4 linked regions of the Coturnix japonica genome follow. The protein of the gene in region 1 purifies or fractionates together with the protein of each later gene. This does not show direct contact. Links are inferred from orthologs where the notes say so. Each region holds a gene or a part of one and is shown on either strand. Other genes may lie near its edges.

Region 1 (2,693 bases):
TGATCGAGGCGTACTGCACCGGGGCGGGCTTCCAGCAGGCACTCAGCTCAGGTGGGCACACAGCAGGTTCTTGAATGCTCCTCCTGCCTGTAGCGCTGATAACCCTCTGGGAAAAAAAACCCAGCTTGTTACATCAGTGAGCAGTGAGACTCATGTTAGGAAACTGTGTGGTGTTCAATCTTTGAGATAAGGGAGCTTCATCTGCTCAGTGGTTTAGTTGCCATTGTTTTTCTTCTAAACACAGAGAATGAGCAGATAGGAGGGCAGATGTGATGCAGCTACTTCACCAGCACTTGTTAGGAATTAAACAACCCTCGTCAGTGCCTGTGGCTGTCAGCACTGAAAACCTGATGCTAATCTCGGGTTGCATGTAGCTTTAGAAAGGAAGCATGAATATTATCTCTCCATCAGCTGCGTATTTAAAAACGAGCTGCTTCATAAGAACCTATCTACCATCTTCAACGCTGGAAATAAAAGTATTTATCACTGCTGGTAAGATGTCAAATTAAATCACTGAACTATCAAATTATGGCACGTTTGTGAAAGGGAGGTCGTGTTCTTCAGAGAGCTCCTGACCTTCCCCGAAGCACTTCATTTATAAGTAATGATGGAGCTGTGAGTGCTCTGGGTCTGGAAGCTGTCCCTCGCTGCTCTGGCCCAGCTGCACACCCAGCCCCTGCATCACCCTCCCAGCCCCTGCTGTGGGCTCCAGGAAAAATCTCCCTTTTTCTTCCTGATGAGCATTTCTTGCACACAGGCTCCCGAAAGGACTCCATCCCCCAAGTCCTTCTTCCCGAGGAGGAGAAAATCATCATTGAGGAAACGAGAAGCAATGGTCAGACTGTCACAGAGGAAAAGTAAGTGAGGCTGCAGACCCCTGGCCAGGCTGCTGCCTTATCCCAAGAGCACCAGGCTGTTCCAGTGGCTATTTTCTCCCTTTTTAAGTACAGTGCTGCATTCTCAGCAGTTCAGAGATAGCTGCGTCCCCCTGGGAGCCCACACAAAGGTCTTGAGAGCCAACATATATAGTCCCAGCTCTCCTCTGGGTGTAGTGAACTGGGTCAGGGAGGACAGATCCAAACAAGGGGCTTTGTTGTTTGTTTTTCTTTTCCATCTGCAGACACTGCGGTCTGCTGCTGCTCCTTGGAGCACTGCCCGAGTGCTCCCAGCCTGCTCCATACCTTCAGCATTGGGGTGGTGCTGTTGGCTCCCTCCTGTTCCCCAGGCAGCGCATTCTTTCTACGGTTACTTTTTGCAGCCCAGCCTGAAGGATTTGGGGCTGCTCTGTAAGATATACTTCAGTTTAAAAACCATTGTTATTATTTTTTGCAGCAGCATAAACAAGGAAGCCAAACCGCAGAGCTTGTTGATAACTTCGAGACAGCAAAGCAGGGTTGGTTTGGTTTGTTGGGGCTGCTGTGTTGCTGTCTTGAAGTTATCAACAAGCTGAATTTTTGGCTGATGTGCTCCTGGGCTGTGTTTCCAGAGTGACCTCAGCGACAGCAATGCTTATAATGGAGAGAAAGAAAATACAAAGGAAAGAGAAAAGCAGGAGATAGAAGCACCATTGCCTCAGTCACCAAGCTCCCGATGCTGTTGCTGTTTTACTGCATTTCAGCTCCTTATTTTTTCATTTAATTTCTGTTTTCTTGCATTTTTTTCTTATTGCAGGAGCCTCGTTGACACGGTTTATGCACTGAAAGATGAAGTGAAGGAACTGAAACAGGTAATTGCAGCTTCTGTCTGTGCTGTGAGATGGCCAGGCAATGTCCGGGAGAAATCTCACCTGGTCCCACCCTGTAGCTGCAGACACATTGCTGCTGCCATGCCCGTCTGTCAGTGTTGAGGGTCTGCTTGAACAAGTCAGACCCCAAATAGTTCACGTGGTTCATCTCCCAAACGGGCAGTGACCCTGGCACTTTGTCACAGTGACCCTGGTGCCTTGTCACCTTGTCACCTTGGCTTGTGGAGCGCATGGGTGTTAACCACCCCTTTCTCTCTATGTTTTTCTGCTTCATAGGAGAACAAAAGGATGAAGCAGTGTTTGGAGGAAGAGCTGAAGTCTCGGAAGGACCTGGAGAAGCTGGTGCGGCGGCTGCTGAAGCAGACAGATGAGTGCAGCAGGGAGGAGACGGGACGCAAGTCATCGCTGATTGCCTGAGCTCGAGGAGAAGCTGCTGGCAGTGTGACCTCAGGTGTATTTTGGGATGCAGAACTGGATCCTTTGCCTCTTCTTCCTCCTCATTTGGTTGGTTCGGGGAATTTTATTACCAAAAAAAGAAAAGAAAAAATATATATATTGTTTTTCTTCCATTTAATAAGGAAATGAAGCAAACAAGCAATCGACCACAACTCAAGCAGTCAGCGAGCGGTCCGTGATTCACAATCCATCTGCAGCAGCTGATACCTCATAGGAGCAAACCCAGCCTGTGCCAGTGACTGCCGCTCACAGAGGGTCTGGCAGCAGTTTCCCATCACTTCTTGATGCTTCCATTCTCTTCAAAAGCACCTGTCCCTATTTATTGAATGAAAGCACGATTGAGTTGGCAATGAGCAGAAACCAAAAAGCACCGTGCTCTTTTTTTCAGATAATCACGACTGGGGAAGCTATTCCCATCACTTTCTTCTTCCCCATTAATTGACTGTAGTGAATTACAGCCCAGCAATACTGCGGGTCCTGTGTGGCCTCGATA
Region 2 (4,710 bases), on another chromosome or scaffold:
GGCCGCAGCCCAGCTCGCAGCGTTGCATCAGCCCGAACCGAACCGAACGGAACCGCACCGCTCCGCACCGCCGCCCCACCTGCTTGGCGCTGAGCTCCCGGTCCAGCTCCCGGGCTCGGTTGTGCCAGACGAGGTAATGCAGCGGGTATCTGCCCTCCGGCCCCTTCCTGCCCGAGCAAGACGCGAGCATCCTCCGTTCATGCTGGAGCGGCGGAGCGGGGCGCGGGGCGGAGCGGGGCGCGGGGCGGGGCGGAACGGGGCGCGGAGCGGGGCGGGGCGGTGGGGGGGGGGGGGTGGGTGGGAGCCGCCCGGACGGTCCCCCCCGCATCTTCCCCCCGCACCGCCCGGCCTCATGGGACTTGTAGTCACTGAGCGCGGCGTCGCCCCTTCCTCCTCCTCCTCCTCCTCCTCCTCCTTTTCCTCCCCGCACCCCCCGCCGGCCCTATGCCCCCCCCCATTGTATGGGGCTGTTCGGGGACGGCTCCGCAGCGCCCGAAGGCACAACCTGAATTCTTATCGCACCCCCCCGCTCTCCCCACCCACGGGCGCTCAACACGCAGCAGCGCGACCCCCGCGATGAGCCCGTGGGGTGCCGACCCCCCCCCGGCCCCATTTCCCTTTCCGCCCCCGTCCCTCCGCTCGTGTTTTCCGGCAGCCGCCAGAGAACAATGCGAGGTTGGGCCCCACGGCTGCCCCCCCCCCACCCTCCGACCCCTCCCCACGCCCCTATGGGGTTCCCGCGGGGTCACCCCGCTCCTTCCCCGCCCCTATGGTGGGCTGTGGCCGTGACGACCCCCCCCCAAAGGTCCCGCTGTCCCGTGACGTCACGGCCATGCAGCGGTGAGCTCAGCGCCGGGCGGGTGCAGCGTGACACGGCGCTGTGCCCCCAGCCCCGGGCGCTGATCGGGGTCCCCCGGGCTGGGGGTGGCGCCCCCCGACCCCATCTGACAACGGCACAGAGATGGGCACCCCCAGTATCAAACCCCCCCACACACACTATGCCAGGTTCAGCCATCGTGGGGGTGGGGGTCGGGGTGATTTGGGGCCTCGGGGGTGCGGGTGCAGGATGGGACCCTGGGCTGGGAATGGGGCTGGGGGCAGGGCCGGGGAGTGCATGGAATCAGAACCGGGACATGGGCTGGGTCAGAACCTGGAACGGGACACGGACCAAGGCTAAAACCAGAACCAATGGATGCCTAGAATGAGACCAACTCAGAACCAGGACCAAAATGAGAACCAGGCCCGGGTCCAGAGGATGCCCAGGATCCGGATCACTATCAGGACAAGAACCAGGGGTTGTCCAGGACAAAACCGGGACCAGGACAAGGTCCAAGACTAACCCAGGACCAAGACCAGGAGCAGGGAATACCCAAAAGCAGGACCAGAACAGAGGCAGGGAATGCCCAGGAACAGAACCAGGATGGGGACAAGAACAAGGAGACGCACAGAATCAGGACTAGAACCGGGACCAGAACCAGAGGATGACAGAGCCGGGATGAGGACGAGAACCAGCACCAGGACGGGCCCCGATCCGCCCCAAAGGGCCGCAGCTCCATCACCCGCTGCTGCTCAGGGCGCGCCGTGACTGCGCTGCGCTGCGCTGCGCTGCGCGGGGCGGGGGCGGTTCTGCTCCTCCTCCGCCGGGGCCGGGCCTGAGCCGCTTCCTGCGGAGCCGCCGGGGCTGCGAGCAGCCGGCAGGGCAGGCGGCAGGAGGGCGAGGCGGCCCCGAGCCCCGCCGCCCCCCCCCGACCCCTCCCCAACCCGACCCCCCCATCCCCCCCTTCCCCGGCCCCGCTCCGCGCTGGCGCAGAGACCCGGGCCCGGCTCGGCGCTGAGGATGTCCCGGAAGGCGCAGCGGGCGGAGGTGTGCGCGGACTGCAGTGCCGCAGGTAGGGAAGGGCCGCGCCCGGCCCCGTCGGCGTTATCCCCCCCCGACCCTCCTCCACGCGGGGCCGTTCGCAGTTCGGTTGTGCGTGTGCCTCCATCCCCTCCCCCCCAGCATCAGCACCTGGATGACGCCCCCCTCCCCCTTTGCTCTGGACCCCGCTGCCCCGCTCTGAACCCCCAGCTTTGTACCCGCGATACCCCGGTGCCTCCCTCCCCCCCCCGCACCCCCTATTTACCCCAGGGGTCCCAGTGACCCCCACCCTTCCTTCACACCCCGTGCTGAGACCCCAGGAGCCCAGGGTTCCCCCTGCATACCCTGCCGACTCCCTCTTTGCCCACAGCAACCCCACAACGTGCCCTAAATAAACCCCCCCCCCGTTCCCCCTGCAACCCTCGGTGCACCCCATTCCCCATCCCTTTGTACCCCTACTTTCCCTCTCGGCACCCAGCACTGTGCCCCCCGGTGCCCCTGTTCTGCACCCAGGAACCCTACAGTGAGCCCTAAAATGCCCCCTGTGCCCCCCAGACCCCTTGTTCTATCTCTTACAGCCCCTTGTTGCCCCCCATTACCCCCCACTCTTCACCCCCTACTTTACCCCCGGGTTCCCCTTTTACACCCCGCACTGGGAATCCCCGCTGCACCCCATTATCTCTATAACATACCCTAAAGATGGCTCCCCCCCCATATTGTGACCCCCAGACCCATCCCTGCGGCGCTGGGGGCAATGAATGAACGTTGAAAGCGGCTCAGAGCCCTGAGGATGGCGGCCACGTGCATGGGGGGCTGCGGGGTCACCCACTGCTGTGGGTCAGCCCCTGTTATAAGGTACCCGGCGGTGCCGAGGTTCCTATGGGGGAAATGGAAAGCTTTTTCTCCCAATCCCTTATCGCCCGGCGGCCATGGGAGGAAATGAGTTATAAAGTCCAGAGGCCGCTTCCGACATCGCGGGGCCGGGAGCAGCCGGTGTCGGGATGTGCGGGGTGCCCGGCTCCGGCATCGCCCCCGCGGCGCAGGGATGGAGTTTCCCATTGCTCCGGGTTATGGGGTAGCACCGTTCTGCTGTGCCCTCAGCCGCCCCGATCCCAATGAAGGAGGAAGGGGTGGCACTGCGAGGTGCTGTATGGGGTGCTGTATGGGGTCCTATATGGGATCCTATATGGGGTGCTATATGAGGTGCTATATGGGGTGCTATATGGGGTGCCCCCCCCCCGGCACGCAGCATCCTGTTCCCGGCAGCGCCCCGTGGGCCGCGGTGCGGAGGCGCAGATGCGGCGGTGCTGCTGCCAAGCGCTGCCATCTGCCCGGGCGGTGCTGCCAGGATTTGGGGGGGGGGACGACGACAACACTGCCTTGTGGCCGCTGCCGGCTGTGCCCCCCATATTAGAGGGGTCGGGGCTGCCTGGTGTGGGGCAGCAGTGGGGTTTTGGGGAGGGGGTGGGAAGGAAGCGCCGCACTGGGTGATGGGGGTGGGTCGCTGGTGGTGCTGCTGCCCCCTCCCACCCGCAGCCCTTCCTCCCGTGGGGCGGCGCGGTGTTTGTGTAGGCCCTATAGATGCACAACACTCCTCTGCTATGGCACAGGGACGCTGGGGACCGTATGGCCCACCCTGCCCCTGCCCCCTGTGGAGGGGGGGGTGGCACCCCATCTGTCCCCCATCCCTTCTGTTGGTGCCGGGGGATCTGGACCCATTGGGGTGCTGGCTGTGGGGAGCTGCCCCCAAAGAACGGTGGGGCCCCCGTGGCTGGAGCGGGGCCGGTGCCAGCACAGTGCTCAAACGTCCCTTTGTTCTCCTGGGGACACAAAGGGCTCCAGTGCGGCCGAGCGGGGCCGGGCAGGGGGCGTGGGGCTGCTGGGGGGGGCACAGCCACTGAGTCCGTGATGGCTGAGTGGGTGGGAGGGCACCCACCTGTATGGGGACACCCGCAGCACAGGGGACACAGCATCGGCACGTAAGGGTGTATTGCACAGTGCTGGCATCGCCCCCGCTGCTGTCAGCCCTTCTGATGAGGGGGCCAAATCCTGCCCCCCCCCCTTGGTTGCTAAGGGAACCCTTTGGGTTTCCCCTGGCGATGGGCTGAGCCCCTCTCCGTCACCCTGGAAACCGCCATGTTGCTACGGTGACGCTGCCCCCCCCCACACACAGCCCCCCCTACATAACACCCCACGCCCCCTGCAGACCCGGGCTGGGCCTCCATCAACCGCGGTGTGCTCATCTGCGACGAGTGCTGCAGCGTGCACCGCAGCCTGGGCCGCCACATCTCCATCGTCAAGCACCTGCGGCACAGCCCCTGGCCCGCCACGCTGCTGCAGGTGGGTGCACCCGGGGGGGGAGGTTACAAGGGGGGTGTCCCATCGGCTCACTGTGCCCCCCCCCATGCATAGATGGTGCACACCTTGGCCAGCAATGGGGCCAACTCCATCTGGGAGCACTCGCTGCTGGACCCGGCGCAGGTGCAGAGCGGGCGCAGGAAGGCAAATCCCCAGGATAAAGTGCAGTAAGTGAGGGCTGTGTGTGGGGATGGGGCTGTGGGGATGGGGGGAGCTGTGGTGGATGTCCCCCCCCCCTCACCCTGTGTCTCCAGCCCCACCAAGTCAGAGTTCATCCGCGCCAAGTACCAGATGTTGGCCTTCGTGCACAAGCTGCCGTGCCGGGATGATGATGGTGTCACCGCCAAGGACCTCAGCAAGGTGGGGGCACGGTGTGATGGGGACCCCCCCTTGGTGCTGCTGACACTCCTGGCACTGACTGCTGCCTCTCCCCCTGCAGCAATTGCACTCCAGCGTGCGGACGGGCAACCTGGAGACGTGTCTGCGGCTGCTCT
Region 3 (4,025 bases), on another chromosome or scaffold:
TGGAGTAGCTGACAGGAATGCTGAGAGGTGCATGATCTGACTTCTTGCTGTGCAGGAATATACACAGCATTAAACTGCTGAAAACTTAAGGGATGGATTTGAATAAGAATTTGAAATGCCATGAAAACACATCTCAGCAGTATTCCTTACTCAGATGGTTTATAGTCTCATGTTGGTCACGAGCTGGAGCATGAGGGAAGATTACGAGCAGCCTGGCTTGCTTAGCAGTGTTGTTGGATGCTCTGTTCTCTTGTGTAGGAGTTTGTTTAAAGGAGTTGTGTGTTTGTGAACAAACAGAATGGATTCAGAAACCAAAGGGAATGATCACAGTAGAGTCACCTGGGGAGGGCTCGAAAATAAGAGCTGTCAATTTAAAGGAGCGTGGTGAAAGGGCAGGGCAGCAGCCTGTGGGGGAAAGCACTGCCCCTGGGGAGGCTGTGCAAAGATGATGGGGAGGGAGACTGGATACAGCAGGAGTTAGCTCTGAAATTGTGCTGTGTGAAGGGGAGGTGCTGTGCTTGTGCTAAGGCGAGCCCTCCAGCTGTGTTTGTAGAGCTTCTACCAGCTGTTCAGGTGGAGGGTGGAAGTTGCACCTACTTCAAGCTCTTCCCTTTCTGGAGGAGTCTGCAGCAGGAAGAGACACCAGTCTGTCTGCTTGACTGGTGCCTGAGCCCTGGAAGGGCTGTCCAGCATTTAGGTGATGATGAGATAACATCTTGTGGAAGGAGGCAGCAGCTAGCAGAAGCTTTAAAAGCACACGTCCTGCCCAGAAAAGTGGTTACTGTAAAGCTGCCCTCACTACTAATGCCTGCACATTCTTACCGGCTAAACTGGGATCTGCACCTTGCCTGTCTTTCCTATCCTGGCTGGTTGGGATGGTGCTGAAGGCCCTGCTGATTGCAGAAGACATAAACTGCTGCTGTGTCTCTGGTGTGTTTGTTGAAATGGGCTGTGTGTGTTGAATTGGGTCTGATAGCTGCCAAGAGGCCTGACTGAAGAGATGCTGGTGAGGAACTCAGTCGCTTCTGTAGCGTTGTTTTTTTTCTTTTTTTTTTGTGTGGTTTTTGTGATGGTTTTTTTTTTTTCTCCTTTTCCGGGCAGCACTTTGACAGTGGGTGTGGGATAGTTGTTAATTAACCTGTCCTCTTAGTACAGCTTAGCATTTCAGAACTGTGGCTCTTTTGTTGGTACTGCTTGGCTTAACACTTCAAAATTGATTCGAAATTTAAAATTCTCTCTCTTTCTCTCTCTCTTTCTCTCTTAAACTTAGTGTCAATAATAAAGTAAAATCTTCTTCCTGCCTTAACTGTGTTCTTATTGATGCTTTACATGCCTGGGAAGTGGGAGTGCTGCAGCTGGATAAAGTAACATGATGGAACATGCATTGCTGCTGCACCTGAAGGCTATAGGAATAGGTGACTTTTCTTGTTTTCTTGAGTGTGGTTGTTCTCTTCAAGTAGTTACTTTGTGGAAAGGTTTGCTTGTCCAGGCTCCTTCCTCTGAGTTTCCATATCTCTGTCAGCTGTAGTACCTGTATTTGTTGACCAAATTGCTGTGAAACGCTGAACTCAATGGCTGCAGAACTGACATCTGTTTAGCAGAGTAGAATCCATGCTTTGTAGATGGACCTTTTTTAGCTCAGGCAGTACACACCATGCACAGAAGAGTTGCCTTTGCTGTTCTGCTTCATTTTTTCTTTTTTTTTTTGGCTGGTATCAGTCTAGGAATATTGAAGGAAGCACTGGGCAAAATACCACTCTTGCACAGGGTAATACTTATGTCCCCTTTTGAGAGGACAGAAAGCCTTACCTTTCCCACGTAAGCCTGCCCTGCTTAAACATCTTAAGGTTTTATGCGTGTATTGCACATTGTAGTTTGTAATATGGAGAATATGGTGGGGAGAAGAAATGTTCCCCCTCCATCAGAAGCCCCTCGAGTGTGGAGGAGTAACGTATGTGTGTAGTAATAGAGAAGACTAAGAAGTCCACTTCCATGGGATGCACCAAGGTAACTTCTTTAAATTCTGTTATCCTACAGCCGACTTTGGTTTCTGTGCTCAGATCACCCCAGAGCAGAGCAAGCGCAGCACTATGGTTGGAACTCCTTACTGGATGGCTCCTGAAGTCGTCACACGGAAAGCCTATGGCCCTAAAGTGGATATCTGGTCTCTAGGCATCATGGCTATTGAGATGGTGGAAGGAGAACCCCCGTACCTCAATGAAAACCCCCTGAGGGTAAGAAATGCAGATATAGCTGTTTATGGGTGTTTATCAGGTGAATGTTCTCAGCGGGTTCAGTGTGATTCTTGATAGCATCTACCTTAAAAAGAAAGCCCACAGACACTACCCTTCAGTAGTGCAAGGAAATGCCATCCAAAAGGATGACAGCTGTCTTGAATTTGCACTTTGTTCAGAATAAATGTGCAGATTGTACCTTCATGTAACTGAAACCTTAGACTTTGAATTCCATCTTCTACCTTAGTTTAGGAAAGGTAAATCCATTAGGTTATGAAACATGCTGCTTTGTCAGTCTGGTACTTTCTTTTGGGTGTATCTCTTGAGTAACTGTTGCCAAAAGATTTAGGAGGTTATTTTACTAGTAGCAAGAATGAATTGCAACTTCCTTTAAGTGGCATTCTTAGCATTTTTCATCTCATCAAGGAGAGGCAAGGTAGGCTGCAGGCTCTAACTCATCTAGACAGAGATATTGTCTCTAGGCTGGTAGGTTGTCATCTTATAAGGGCTTGAGCTGGTTGTACAACATTCTCATTTTACAGGCGTTATATTTGATAGCAACTAACGGCACACCAGAGCTTCAGAACCCTGAGAAACTGTCCCCAATATTCAGGGATTTCTTAAACCGATGTTTGGAGATGGATGTTGAGAAAAGAGGATCAGCCAAAGAATTGCTACAGGTAAGAGTCAGCTTCTCTTAGAGTCTGAGAAACAGAGGCCACTTCTAAGGTAAGCGTGTTTTAAAAGGCACTGCAGACTAACACACCCTTCTGTTTTGTGTTTTCCTCTGAGTAAAGAGGAAAGGACTTCAGGGGAGAGTAAGTTGGGAGGAACCACAGTCATCAAGGGTTGTACTGGGTGTTCTGAAGTCTTTCTGGCAGTAATCTGCACCATCATTCTGCCACGTTATCTAACAAGTGGTGATTTACTGTAGTAGAGCCTTTAAAGTGAGCAGAAAAGGACTGAGAGAAGACATTTGAGCAGGAAACCTCTTCCTGAAAAGCAAAAGGCTGATACTGTTTTAGGAAGGGGGGGATGATGAGCAGGCTGTGAGTGCCATCAGCCACTCAGTCTGTTCCTTCAGAAGCACTGATAATATTTGCACTACTTTCTGTATCTCAGGATGGGAAGAGCTGTATGAATATGTGCCTTACACTGGCTTTTTTAAACCATCTTTTACTAATTTACTGTGTTTCTCTCATCCTGGCAGCATCCCTTCTTGAAACTGGCCAAACCTTTGTCTAGCTTGACGCCACTGATCCTGGCAGCCAAAGAAGCAATGAAGAGTAACCGCTAACATTAATGCCACGGCCTACATTTGTTTTTGTTATTATTATTTTATTTTTTTTTTTACAAATCTTTTTAATATATGAAATTGTTACACTTCTGGTGGGAGGGAAGAGATTTGGGGGTGGGGTGGGGGGGGAACATCTGCAAAAGGGAAGCAGCTCTCATCCAGAAGACACCTGACATAAATTGTGGCGGATCTAATGATCCCTTTCTGGGGTCCAGAAGGAATTGAGGACTGAAATACTGGCTTTTTTTCTTTTTTTTTTTTTTCCTATATATATTTTTTTTTCTTCCTCCAGACAGCCCAGAAATGCCACTTAGCATGCCCAGGGTTTTAAGGGCTTTATTGACTTTACTATTACAACTCCCATTCACTGTACCCTTGTGGGTGCTTTTAGTACTTGAATGACCGATTCAGGCTTTCAGAGAGCAGCACTAATTTTACCAGCTGATCTCTTTCATTCTCCTCTTCCTCCCCTCTATCTGTAATCCGCTTTAGTA
Region 4 (4,025 bases), on another chromosome or scaffold:
CTGATTCAGAACAAAACCAAGCCGATAAATCAAACACAATATCTTATCCTCTCCCCCCGCGTAACCACCCCCCATCATCTTTCTTTTTTAAATCAGGATTTAAATGGACAGAAAGAGCTGTGTCCGCGCCTCTGCCACCTGAAGAAAGGTCCCAATGGTTATGGCTTCAACCTGCACAGTGAGAAGTCCCGCCCAGGGCAGTTCATCCGCTCGGTTGACCCTGACTCACCAGCATCCAGAGCAGGTCTGCGGCCCCAGGACCGCCTGGTGGAGGTAACAGCACATGCAGCATGGAGCTTTGGGGCTCTTTTGTTGCATTTTTGGGTCCTACCAACATGAATCCTCCTGGAAATGAGGAGCTGGAGTGCAGAAGGGATGTGATGCTCAGCTGGGAAGCGTGATGCTGAATCCAGGCCCAGTCCTGTGCCCTTTTCCATCAGATCCATCATACTGCTGGGCAGGAGTTTGGAGCCAGGGGAAACGCTTGGCAGAGAGATCTTAAAGCATAGGATTGTGAAAGATGGGGGGAGAAACCACTCTTGGAAGCGATTTTGCTTAATGCCGAACAACAGAATTCTTGATGTTGCACAGAATCACCCTCGCCTTGTTTGTCTCTTGGTGTTTTTACTGAAGAATGAGTTCCCCCATTTAAAGCAGCACAGACAGATGGACAGACATTACTTGTTTCCCAGCTGGGCTCCACACCATACCCCAGCCTGGCTCTGCCCTGGCACTGTGGCAGTGTAATGCTGGGGCTGGGACACCCATGGCTGCGGTTCATGGCAGCGAGGTGTTTTGTTATTTATTTATCATCCATTGGCCAAGTGCCCGGCATGCACAAAGCAGCGAGGGGTGAGCTGGAGAGCTCAGAAACCTGATCCCCCCCCTGCTCCAGCTCTTTGGGGCTCTGATAAATAATTGATGTTCCCAGCCCTGCTGTACCAGTGTTGGGGTGGGAGAGCAGGGCAGTCCCCTTTGGGGTCTCCCTATGGGTCAGGGTGAGTCCTGGGGCAGGACTGGGGTAATATTGGGGTGACATTGGGGTGATGTTGGGGTGACATTGGGGTGACATTGGGGTGACTATGGGGTGATGGTGGGGATGGAGCATGGCTACAAGCCAGGCTGGCTCCTTGGGACTGTGTCTCCTACAGGGTCTGCGCCAGCCCCAGGCAATGGGTGTGTTCATTTCTGAGCACAAACAATGCCTAGAAATCACAATTGTTCCCTTTCTGCCTGGGAGGAGAAATCTCATCTGCTGGTGGCTCCCAGGTCGCGTGCGATGAAGGGAAAATGAGTCAGCACGTCAGGGACAGACAAGCACTGTGCTCTGCCTGGCTGCTGGGACAAGGGATATCCTCCCTCATCCCTTATTGGGGATGAGCTCAGGCAGGATGAGGTTTTGGGGGCAAACTGAAGATGAATACTGGGCTTGAAGTTGCTAGAGGGGAACCAATGTGGTCCTGAGCACTCATGTAGTTTAGGAGGTGGCAGAGTTTGGGGGTCCGGTGGAATTCAGGAATTAGAGCCATAGAATCCTTTGAGTTGGAATGGACCTTTAAAGGTCATTTGGCCAACTCCCTGTAATGGACAGATGGAGCTTGTGCAGAGGTTTTTTTGGGTGTCAGAGATGTCTCTGCTGCAGTCCAACACTGCTGTTTTTTGCAGGTAAACGGAATAAATGTGGAGGGGCTGCGGCACTCAGAAGTGGTGTCCCATATCAAAGCCAGAGAGAGCGAAGCCAGGTTGTTGGTGGTGGACCCTGAGACAGATGAGTACTTCAAAAAGCTGGGGGTGACCCCCACGGAGGAGCACACCAAAGGTGAGAGCCTGGTTCTGCCCCTGTGACTCACCAGGACAAGGGTGGGATTTCAGGAGTGACAGAGTCATGTTTCCCTTGTCTCATCCCTGAGCGGTTTCCTGAGCACCACCCAGCTATTTATAAACAGTGAGAATACTCCCAGCCACAAAACAACTCATTATTTTTACACCGTGAATAATTAACATAGGGACTGGCTGCCAGAAGGCGGCTGTGGGGTGACGATGCTGCGTGGGATGTGTCGATGGGTGCAGCAGCACTTGGTGCAAGTGGTCCAGCTGTGGGGATGCTTTGGTGGCACAACCCAGGGCTGCTCGGTGTCTGGGAGCAGAGCACTGCTGTGGGGCTGCAGGGCGTGATGACCCTTGGCAAAGGAGCCTGAGGGCGCAGAGAGAAGTAAGAACAGCCCCCATGTGCACACGCAGAGATGAGCTTCACACAGCAGCGATCACAGATGTCCGCTGCAGGGAATGTTTCCCTTGCTGCTGGAACCTGGCAGGGAAAGTAGTCTGTCCACTCCACACCCTGTCACCATCCGACCCGAGCTCAGTCAGGTGCTCCGTGGGAAGATTGGTCCAGAGAAATTGAGTCAAAGAGTTCTGAGGGCTGAGAGCGGTGTCAGATGCTCCAAGTGGGCTCAAAGAGGAGCGGTGTGAGCCCGGTCTGCTGGCACAGGCACAAAGGAGCCCTTGTTCCCAGCAGCAGGGACACAGCCAGGGCCATGCGTGTGGGTGTGTGAGTGCTGGGCGCTGGCTCCTTGCTCCCTGCACCAGGAGGATGGGGGTTTAGTGAGGTAGGAGTTGGCCTCTTCTCTCAGGTAACAGCGATAGGATGAGAGGTGATGGCACTGTGTTATGCCAAGGGAGGTTCAGGCTGGATACTGGGGGACATTTCTTCTCTGAAAGGGTGCTCAGGAACTGGCACTGTTGCCCAGGGAGTGGTGGGGTCACTGTCTCTGAAGGTGATAAGAACTATGGAGATGTGGCACTGAGGGACATGGTCAGTAGGTAGGGTGGGATGGAGTGGGGGTTGGCTTAGTGATCTTGGAGGTCTTTTCCAACCTTATTGATGCTGTGATGCACAATGGCTGCAGAGCTGTAAGTTAGAAGCCCTGGGCTGCTGCAGTTACAAGCTGCTCTTGCTTCACTGGGTACAGTGTTGCACAATGAGCACACAGTGTTGTTCTCTGCTTGGCTGCTGTAGGCTGGGGGCTGCTCAGGGGTCCCACTGGGGTGACGGAGGGGCACAGAATGGGGTCTGTGCCCCCAGGAAGTCTTTGTGCTAAGTATAATTCAGTCACTAGCCCTGTCACAACTGGCACATCTGTAGCACCGTGTCTCATCTGTCCCAGGCTGCCTTGAGCAGTGACTTGGTTGTGGGAACTAGCAGCCCATCTGCATTGAATTTGCCATTGTATGGAGGATTACTAACACAAATTATTGGAAGTGGGCAACAATGTGCCAAGGTCCATGAAAGGCAGCGGGTTGCTTGCTACATGCTATTGCAACACCAACAAGTTGCTGATTTCAGCAAAGAATGTTGGGCTGGTCTGTAAGATTTCCGATTAAACAATTCCCAGGAAAAATGGTTTCGCTGTCAAAAACAGGAGTGCACTGAATGCAGAGCTTAGGGAGGGAAGTGGTTTAGTACCCCTGCTGGAAGGGGCTTTCTCCTGATGAAAGCAGCAATTGAATGAGGTTGGGATTGCGGTTCTGGGGGGCACACACTGGGTCTGGCTGCATCTCTGGGGTAGGGGGCACATGGGGCTTCTGGGGCCTTGTTGGGACTGCAGCCCCTGTGATGGAGCCCAGCCCGGCCGTCCCCATGAGTGCACTCACTCTGTTTCCTCTGCCTGGTCCGCAGGTGTGGTGCCTCAGCCCATGACGAATGGATCTGCACAGATGCAGGTGAGTCCCCACCTGCTCCCAGGTTGCCTCAAAGCAGAGGGAACCTCCTAGCCTTGCTGAGGCTCATTGAGCTCAATTAACTGCTGCTGGCTAATTAGAATTGCTTCCTGCTGTAGCTATAATTTCAGGCTTGCACAAGACTGGGCTCAGCCCCATTTGTGCCTTTTCACCAGGAGTAGCACCCTGCATGTACCATTGTCCCTGCAGGCATAGGGTGCTGCACTGGGACTGGCTGTGATGTTTGTCCCCATGTGGTTATTGGGTTTTATTGTTTCTGCCCCCACACAACCTGAGCTAATGTT

The links.
Region 2: the proteins of ARHGEF6 (region 1) and GIT1 purify together in Homo sapiens (affinity purification with mass spectrometry; 3 studies listed by BioGRID and IntAct, counting the BioPlex papers as one, with this or other methods). This does not show direct contact. The link is inferred for Coturnix japonica from reciprocal best matches to the Homo sapiens genes ARHGEF6 and GIT1.
Region 3: the proteins of ARHGEF6 (region 1) and PAK2 purify together in Homo sapiens (affinity purification with mass spectrometry; 3 studies listed by BioGRID and IntAct, counting the BioPlex papers as one, with this or other methods). This does not show direct contact. The link is inferred for Coturnix japonica from reciprocal best matches to the Homo sapiens genes ARHGEF6 and PAK2.
Region 4: the proteins of ARHGEF6 (region 1) and SLC9A3R2 purify together in Homo sapiens (affinity purification with mass spectrometry; 3 studies listed by BioGRID and IntAct, with this or other methods). This does not show direct contact. The link is inferred for Coturnix japonica from reciprocal best matches to the Homo sapiens genes ARHGEF6 and NHERF2.

Annotation. Positions count from the first base shown.
Region 1 is NC_029519.1:4,235,990-4,238,682, reverse strand, and holds part of ARHGEF6 (rho guanine nucleotide exchange factor 6), read left to right. Parts: coding exon 1-51; intron 52-757; coding exon 758-857; intron 858-1,671; coding exon 1,672-1,726; intron 1,727-2,020; coding exon 2,021-2,161; 3' UTR 2,162-2,693. UniProt on the Homo sapiens protein: Acts as a RAC1 guanine nucleotide exchange factor (GEF).
Region 2 is NC_029534.1:4,843,282-4,847,991, reverse strand, and holds the start of GIT1 (ARF GTPase-activating protein GIT1), read left to right. Parts: upstream 1-1,725; 5' UTR 1,726-1,837; coding exon 1,838-1,889; intron 1,890-4,064; coding exon 4,065-4,198; intron 4,199-4,270; coding exon 4,271-4,383; intron 4,384-4,470; coding exon 4,471-4,576; intron 4,577-4,655; coding exon 4,656-4,710. Other genes in the region: ANKRD13B (ankyrin repeat domain-containing protein 13B), read right to left, coding at 80-190. UniProt on the Homo sapiens protein: GTPase-activating protein for ADP ribosylation factor family members, including ARF1.
Region 3 is NC_029524.1:3,531,954-3,535,978, reverse strand, and holds part of PAK2 (serine/threonine-protein kinase PAK 2), read left to right. Parts: intron 1-2,037; coding exon 2,038-2,234; intron 2,235-2,776; coding exon 2,777-2,914; intron 2,915-3,444; coding exon 3,445-3,531; 3' UTR 3,532-4,025. UniProt on the Homo sapiens protein: Serine/threonine protein kinase that plays a role in a variety of different signaling pathways including cytoskeleton regulation, cell motility, cell cycle progression, apoptosis or proliferation.
Region 4 is NC_029529.1:6,209,208-6,213,232, forward strand, and holds part of SLC9A3R2 (Na(+)/H(+) exchange regulatory cofactor NHE-RF2), read left to right. Parts: intron 1-96; coding exon 97-273; intron 274-1,665; coding exon 1,666-1,819; intron 1,820-3,679; coding exon 3,680-3,723; intron 3,724-4,025.